2 linked regions of the Oryctolagus cuniculus genome follow. The protein of the gene in region 2 purifies or fractionates together with the protein of the main gene of each other region. This does not show direct contact. Links are inferred from orthologs where the notes say so. Each region holds a gene or a part of one and is shown on either strand. Other genes may lie near its edges. The genes, in order: UBR5 and DYRK2.

Region 1 (3,805 bases), on a different chromosome or scaffold from region 2:
AGCCACCTTTTGCGTTCCAGCTGAGGTGTATCCAATGTTGTCTGCTGGTTCATTGCTTTAATCCAATAGATAAGGGCTTGGAAGACATAGGCCACATGCTTTAATGAGCAAACATCCAGAACTGGAAGAACATCTGAGTGCTCGTCGTTATGTGACCGCATGAGAGAGAGCGCATAATTCAGAAAGTCTCCTCGAGCAGACATCATTCCCTGACGGGCGCTAAGCAATGTGGCACGTCTACAGAACAAAGAAAAGAGAAAGGCAGAATTTTTGCAAGTTATGTATTTGATAAGAAGTTTATATCCAGAAAAAGGAACTCATGAGCCAACAGAAACAAGCCAATTAAAAACTAGAGAAGACTGTAAATAAACATTTCTCCAAAGATATGCAAGCTTGCCAGTTAATACATGAAAAGATGATCCCTATCATTCATAGCCCATTAGGGAAATGCAAACCAAAACCACAGAGACCCAGTGTCACACCTCTGCAGGTTGGGCATAATAAAAAATGGACCGCTGCTGAAGACAGAGAGAAATTAAACTCTTAAATGTTATTACGGAGTGTCCTCTTCTTTGAAAAATAATGTGACAGTGTCTTAGAAGGTTAAATAGAGTTAACACCTGCCTTGAGAAGTGAAAATACTTATTCAAGCTCATGGCAGCACTATGCAAAATACTGAACAGGCTGAAGTAAGTCAAAAGCCCAGCAACTGACAAATGGATAAACAAAATATGATATATCTGTACAATGAAATATTAGGAAAGGAATGAGATACTGATGCATGATAAACATGGTGAACTTAAAACCATTAGATAGCTATGTGCAAGGAGCCTGTCACAAAATACCACATAATGTATGATTCCATTTACACAAATATCCAGAATCCATAGACACAAAGCAGACTAATTGTGCCAAAGGGCAGAGACCGGTGGAAAATGGAGAATGACTGCTACCATTTCTTGCAGAGATGAAGAAAATATTCCAAATTGATTAGGATGATAATTACAGTTAAAAAAGTACAGAATTGTACACATGGTATATGAATTATATATCAATATAGCTATCCTGAGAGAGAGGGAGAGAAAAGGCAGGCACACACGTGCACATGCACACACACACATACACCTACCAATAAGGATTCAATAAGAGAATTCCCTGTTCTCTGGGGGAGGGATATCCTGAAAGAAACAAGGCTTTCACCTCTGTGTGGAACAGGCTTCTTGGGACAGCGGCTGCCTCCCAAACCTGTCTCTAGTTAGCTATCTCTGCCAAGTATCCAATTTTGCATCCTAGACAGTTCGACCAAATTAAAAGTGTGTCCATTCCACCCTTCTGGAGTTTTCTCTTAACTTTCCCACCCGCTATTCAGAGTCCAGGTCTAAATACAAATATAAATTCTGCCAACTCCTGCTCCATGTCTCATGAAAGGCCCTAAATTCTAGAGAGGGATTAAGGCTTCTCTCCCCTCCTTCCAGGATTTCACTGCCCTACTTCAGTAACTAATACCTCTCGTGAGCTCTAAAACAGCCTTAATTTTTCTAAGCACTTTCTAGAGCCTCATCCTTCCTCCTTCATGATCTAACCAAAACGACAAGGTTGCTTAGCCTGAGCCAGAGGGGAGGGCGAGGTAAATCCTTAAACTTGGGCTTTAGGCACAGGGCCTTTCTACTTTTGTGATACAGCTGTCACTCAAGAGGTCAATGTCTAGGTTAAGTGCTAGTTCACTTTATGGACGAAGAGAAAGAACCTAAGTACCTAAAGGTATGTATTTTTAACTATGATTCAACAGCTTGGTGGAGACAGAGGAGAAAACGTGACTGCACAAGCCACGAGGGACTTTGGTAATCACGTATACTTCTTCTTGAGCACCAAGGACATTTATGCTCAGTCATGGTCAAAGTTTTTCTGTGAATAGGACCGTTTCAAAAGGAAGGCAGGAGAGGCCTGGGAGATAAATGAGACAAGGATATGGACCAACAATTTCAAAACTGAAAAGTCTCCACTGTCAGAATCTGATGATATGAATGGATTGTAAAAGCACAGTTTGGGTTAGAACTTATTTGGCTTCAACTACAGAACAATGTAAAATACTTAATGGAATGGGAGGTGCTTACTTCCTCTTTCATAATAGAATGCATCTGTAACAGCACTCAACAAGGTCTAACTCTAGAGTACAAGGGCCATGGTCTAAGCATACGCATATTCATGAAGAATTTCATACCGTCTGCCTTCAAGGGTTCGTAAACTAGCCTCCTCTCGCGCAGTCATCCTCTCTCTTCGCGCTGAATTCTGAGAAGCGTGAAGAGGATGATTTGGGTGTCCCGGATCACCAGCAGATGCTAATGCAGAACCATAACGTAATTGAGCTTCAGTAGAATCCATAATACTGACCATCCAGTTCCAAGTGGGAATAAGCTTTTCTTCTACATAGTTCTATGAAGACCAAACTAAAATAGTTAAAACTATCCAAATAGAGCTAAATTCGATACAGCAGTAGTATGTCAACGTTTGTCATATTTATTCCCATTATACTAGAATTTTCAAAATTATAGGCAAAAAAGTATTCAAATGAGTAATTTTTCATCAGTTTCATACCTGCAAGTTTACTGCATCTTGGTAAGTCAATTTCACAGCTGCCGGAATCTGAGAGTACACTAGGTGGTTATACTTAGGAATAAGGCCCATCAAGTCCGAGATTTGTCTGATGACAATGCTGTAAGCCCTGGCTAAACTGCTTGCAGATGTTAAGTAGCTGCTGGCATTACTAGCTTCCAAGGCAGCTGCTGCAGCTGCAGCACTCGTACTGATGGTACCACTCCGGCGTAAGTTTGAAGGATCAATATAAATCAAACCCGCCGAACTTGCTATAAGGAAAAAGGACAACCACAATGAGTCAGTTGCTAATTGTGTTTCTCCGGCACTGCATATACTTAGGTAAATCTAAATGGTCACATATACACAATGCAATATTACTAAGGCATTAAAAAAAAAAAAAACTAGCATTTGCACAACATGGATAGAACAGAGAGCATTATGCAGTGTAATAAGACAAGCATACAAAGACAGACAAATATTACATGATCTCACTCATATGTGGAATGTAAAAACACAGGTGATCTCAGAGAAGTTAAAAGCATAATGGTGATTTCCAGAGGTTGGGAAGAGAAGTAAGGAAGAAGCGGTAAGCAAAGGCTGACTGACGGGTACCAGGTTACAAGACAGGAATGAGAAGTTCTGGGGTTCTACTGCACAGCAGAATGAATACAGACACTGTACTGTACATGTCACCATCTAAAACAATACTAGAAGGTAGAATTTTGTAATGTTTTCACTATAAAGAAATGTTAAATGCTTGAAAGGACAAGTATATTTACCCAAATTGGACATGACAAAAATGTATACATGTACAACACAATCACACAGTACCCCATAAATATATACAATTTTTCTGTCAAATTTTATTAAACAGTCTGATCAATTGCTAACATGTCATCAGTGAGCAAAGAAGTTTTCCTAAACCCTACTAATTTAGGTAGGCTTGTGTTGAGGGAAGCAAGAATTTAACACAATGTTCTCCACCAGGGATGACTCTGTATCCTGCCCCTCTGCCAAAGAGGACATGTGGCATGTCTACAGATGACTCTGGACCTCACACTGGCGGGGTCGCACAGGGGAAGGGAAGGGAGGTGCTACTGACAGCTGGCGGGGAGAAGCTAAGGATGCTGCTTAACATCCTACAGTGCACAAGACAGTCCCCACCAAATAAAAGCTACCCAGCCCAGAGCACCGGTACTGGAAACACTGA
Region 2 (4,335 bases):
TAAAAAACTTACAGAAACCTGAAAGACATAGGGGAATACGGATCTGCAAAGGCTCTTCACTTGTAATGAAGTTAATACAATCTCCTAGGATTACCAGTGTGGGACAGTATGTCAAAACCACACTCGGGAGGGTGTGGGGTTTATTGATAGGAATTAACTAGAGAATCCTGACCAAACCAGTTAACATGTCTGTTTCTTCCTCTGCAAATCAAAGGAGCAGAACGTGATAAACTCTATATTCCTTTAACTCTCCTGTTCTAGGAAATCTGCGATGTTACACAAATAAAATCCAAACTCAACGACCAACCACATTCACAGTTCTGAAAGCATGTACCTAATCAGCAGCAACATAATGTCTGAAACAGGCCAGTCCTCAGAAGCACATACACAGGGCGTCTTGGCTGCAGCAGTACTGGCTGCTCCTCCAGGGGAGACTCTGCCTTCCCTACATTCACTACACATTTCAATTGTAAAGAGGCTCTGATGGCACAAAGTGCACCCTGACAAAATTGGAATCCAGTTGTAAACTAAGTACTTTTTTTCCAGTTCACATCACGTCATGTGAGTATATCAACACACAGGGGGGAAAAAAAAAACCCTAGATGTTACATTTGCCAAATTGCCAGATGATTCCAAACCAAACAAACAAAAAACCCAAACCCCTAAAACCAATGGCAGATTCTAAAACATCAGTGTGATAAGAACATTTAACAAATACAGAATCATCCATCCTCCCAACAAGACTCTCCCTGACATCAACAATCCAACACTGATTAGGCAACTGCTGTGTTGTCAGAAGGGAGGTAAATAACAAAGCAGCTTCCTAGCTCTAACAGGTGCAAACTGCACCCTAGATTGCCTCTCTGATTCTCTGATAAACAGGTTTCCCCAGAACCCACCATCCCCAGAGCTGCTCCCCTTTGCTAGAACTCAACTTTTCACTTGGCAAACAAAATCGCACCCCTCATGCAGAACCATTTTAGGTGGTTCCGCTTGGAAGCTGCAAAACCTCTGAACCCTGAGATCACCTCCTGGGAGCTGGCAGTCTCCATCCGAGGGCTCTCGCTGGGAGCAAAGCGAAAGCACATGCTGGAGTCCAGGGCAGCTTGCCCACCATGGTGGCCGCTGGTCCCACGCCGGGCCAGGCTGGGCCGGCCCCTCCCTCCTGGGGCTCCGAGGGCACACAGCACCTGTCAGGTGCCCTGGTCTTCCCACCTCCGGAGCAAGGCTGGCCCCATAATGCCCAACTGCAGGATCCTGCCGGGGTGGCTGGTTTTGTTTTGACTGCTGCTGTGGCGCTTATTTTTGTTAATGTTAATTACAATTTCTGCTGTGCTCAAACCTGTAGCACTCATAAAACATGCTTACACACGCGGGGGGACAATTGGTGGGGCTCCCTGCTGGCTGCAGCCGGGCCTGGGAGGCTCTTGGGGGGATCGATTTTCCTAGCAGGACAGCCTGACTGTCCCCTAACACATATCTGTTTCTATAAATAGCCACGACCCACGGGAGGGTGTGTTGGGGGGGGGCAGGACAGATGTTTACCGGGTCAGGGCGTGGAGCTCTGAGAAGCAAGGACAGAAAAAATAAGGAAGGGAGAAGGAGAGCGACAATGAGGAAGGCAAGCTTGGGGGTGGGCGAGCTCTGCGGGGGGAAGTGTGGGGGCCCACGCCACGAATCTTCCTTTTGTAGCTGCAGTTTGGGGCTCGCCCAAGTCACCGGGGCCGCACGCACTTCGACCTTCCCTCGGAGGCGTCCGAGCCCCGGAAGCCCGGGCGCTTGTGCCCCGAGGGAACCCTCCAGGCCGCCCCCCACCCGTGGCCGCCCGCGGGCGGGGTCTCACCGTGTGGGCCGTGGCGGCCGCGTTGCTGGCCCGGAGAGGCGGCAGGGCGATGGGGGAGGGCGGGCCGGTCCCCACTCCGCTCCGGGGGGCCCCCGCGCCGAGCCCGGGGGAAGCCTGAAGCTGACGAACGGCGCTGTCCCCTCCTCGGCCTGGGAGCCACGCACGGGAGGAGACAAAAGAGGGTCAGGGGCGGAAAAAAGTCATCCGAACCCCGACCTCCCCCACCGCCCCTCCGGGCAGAACACCCCTCCTTCCAGTGGCAGACACCCGCCGGGGCCCCGGCTCCCCAGCGCGCCCCCACGGGCGGGGCGCCACAGCGGCAAAGTTAAGTCGGGCACCGGCGCGCGAGTTCGCGAGCCGGGCCGGGGATTCGCGGCCCGCGCTGCGGACGGCCGGGGCCGAGGAGGGCGCAGCGGCCTCTCCGAGCTCACAGCGCGGGTGGGGGACGGCCCCGGCGCACCCCGCCCGGGCCCCCAGCGCGCCGCCGCCCGGCGGGGGCCGAGGGCTCCCGCGAAGGAGCCTGCGGGCCGCGTGCAACAATGCGCGGAGCCGGGCGAGGCGAGGCGAGGGCGCGCCGGCCGCCAGCCCGCTGCCCGCTCCCCACCGCACACTTCGCTCCAGGTCCCGCGGCGGTGGCCGCACGAGCTCCGGGGCTGGCCTGGGGCTGACGGGGGCGGCGCGGGGGGCCCAGCCCTCCTTACCGGTCGGGTAGGCGGCGGGAGCGGCGGCCGAAGGTTTCCTGGTTAACATGGCCGCTGGAGAGGAAAATGCATCTCAGGGCTGCCGTCTCCGCCGCCGCCGGTCCCGCTGCTACTTCTCGCGGCGGCCGCCGCCTCCCGGTCGCCCCTCGGGCGGGTCCCCGGCGCCGCCTGGCCGCCTCGCGTCAGCTACAGCCAGACACACACAGCCGGCTGCATCCCCTCGGCCCGGGCCCGCAGCCGGGAGCCCCCCGCTCTCCTCCTCGCCGCCGCCGCCGTCCTCCTCTTCCTCGGGCGGCCGCAGCACCCCCCGGCCCGTGCTCATGCCTCGCCCTCCCCTGCGCGCCGCGGGCCTCCCCGATTCCCTCACATAGGGGCGCGGGGAGCGGGCAGCGCCGCGCCGACCGCCTAGCTCCAGAGCCTCCTCCTGGCTCGCGCGCGCGCGCGCCCCCGCGCACTCTCGCCCAGGCGCCCGCGCCCGCGCGCGCCCCGGGAGGGCAGCCCCGCCCCCGCCGCAGGCCCCGCCCCCGGCTGCCCCCGGCCCAGTCCCGCACCCTGCCGTGCTCCCCACCCCCACGCGGCCGCCCGGGCGCCTGCACAGCCGGGATCGGCTCCGGGCACAGCTCGGCCACGTCCGCCTCCCGCCATCGGCCCCTTGCCCCTCGCTCCCGCACCGACGCCTGGCCCCCTCCCCGGCTGCCCTAGCCCTTGCCGGGCCCCGCCTTTGCCCTGAGCGCAGCCTACCCCCGCATCCTCCCCCACCCACCGACCTCGCTGCAGAGACCCCTCCCCTTCCCCGCGCGCCCCCAAACACGGCCGCATTTTCTGCTTGGCGGACCTAATGGCTGCTCGCGAACAATACTGTCTCCCCCGCAGCGCGCCCGGGGACTTAACGACCCGCGTCCCCCGGTTCATCACGTGGACAACTTAGTTGTGCGCGGGTCACCGCGGATGGCCGAGCCCCGCGGCGGGGCCGCCTTGAGCCCGGGAACCCCCAGCTCGGGCAAAGGGGGCTGCCCTCCCGCCGCCACCTCCACCTCCACCACACTCTCCCTCCCCGCTTTACTGACACCGAGTGACCGCTCTCCAGTCGCTAGGACAAGGGGGAGGCAGAGAGGCGCGCGTGGACGGCAGCCGGGGAAGCAGTTGGCTGTGGGTTGCTAGGCAAAAATCAACACCAGAGACGCCTCCCATTTCCTTGCAACTCCAGCCTTCCCTCTGCGGCCGCTGGGAGAGACACACCTTCCTTTCAGCGCCTTGCCTCTCTGCTCGCATCCTCGCAGACCAAGCTCTCCCGCCGGCTTCCAAGGCACGTGCAGAATGTGTCTGCCCTTGCATTGTGCCGTCTGCGGCCTCCCTTTCCCTGGTGGACTGAAAACGTGCTCGCCCGCCTCGGACCCGTGCCCCCGTCCTGGGTGGCGCGCTGTGCGCCTTTGTCCAAAGGTCACCAAGTTTTGCCACTTCACCGGTCTGGGAGGAGGTTGGGGCAGAACCGGACAAATCCCGGATGAGGGCAGAAAGTCGCCCTGAACTTCCTTCCTGAGAGATGCCAGGTGTCTGAGGTTCTGCCGGGGACATGGGTGCTTTCTGCTCTGCCCAGCCCCATCTCCGGCCCTGGCTGGACCTAGCAGGCAAAGCCCAGGGGGAGGGAGCCACCTCCTGCGGAGTGCCTCGCCTCTCCTGTTGGCAATTGTCACAGCAACCTCCCACAGAGCTCACCCTCAGCTTCACATAGATACCAGGATCCGAGAGTGACAAGGTAACAGCTTGACCCTCTCCTACAGAGGTCTTGCT

The links.
Region 1: the proteins of DYRK2 (region 2) and UBR5 purify together in Homo sapiens (affinity purification with western blotting; 3 studies listed by BioGRID and IntAct, with this or other methods). This does not show direct contact. The link is inferred for Oryctolagus cuniculus from reciprocal best matches to the Homo sapiens genes DYRK2 and UBR5.

The regions. Positions count from the first base shown.
Region 1 is NC_091437.1:127,610,587-127,614,391, forward strand, and holds part of UBR5 (E3 ubiquitin-protein ligase UBR5), read right to left. Parts: intron 2,865-3,805; coding exon 2,596-2,864; intron 2,434-2,595; coding exon 2,222-2,433; intron 238-2,221; coding exon 7-237; intron 1-6. UniProt on the Homo sapiens protein: E3 ubiquitin-protein ligase involved in different protein quality control pathways in the cytoplasm and nucleus. Mainly acts as a ubiquitin chain elongator that extends pre-ubiquitinated substrates.
Region 2 is NC_091442.1:70,020,216-70,024,550, reverse strand, and holds the start of DYRK2 (dual specificity tyrosine-phosphorylation-regulated kinase 2), read right to left. Parts: upstream 2,998-4,335; 5' UTR 2,594-2,997; coding exon 2,545-2,593; intron 1,993-2,544; coding exon 1,844-1,992; intron 1,414-1,843; exon of another isoform or gene 1,089-1,413; coding exon of another isoform or gene 1,029-1,088; intron 1-1,028. UniProt on the Homo sapiens protein: Serine/threonine-protein kinase involved in the regulation of the mitotic cell cycle, cell proliferation, apoptosis, organization of the cytoskeleton and neurite outgrowth. Functions in part via its role in ubiquitin-dependent proteasomal protein degradation.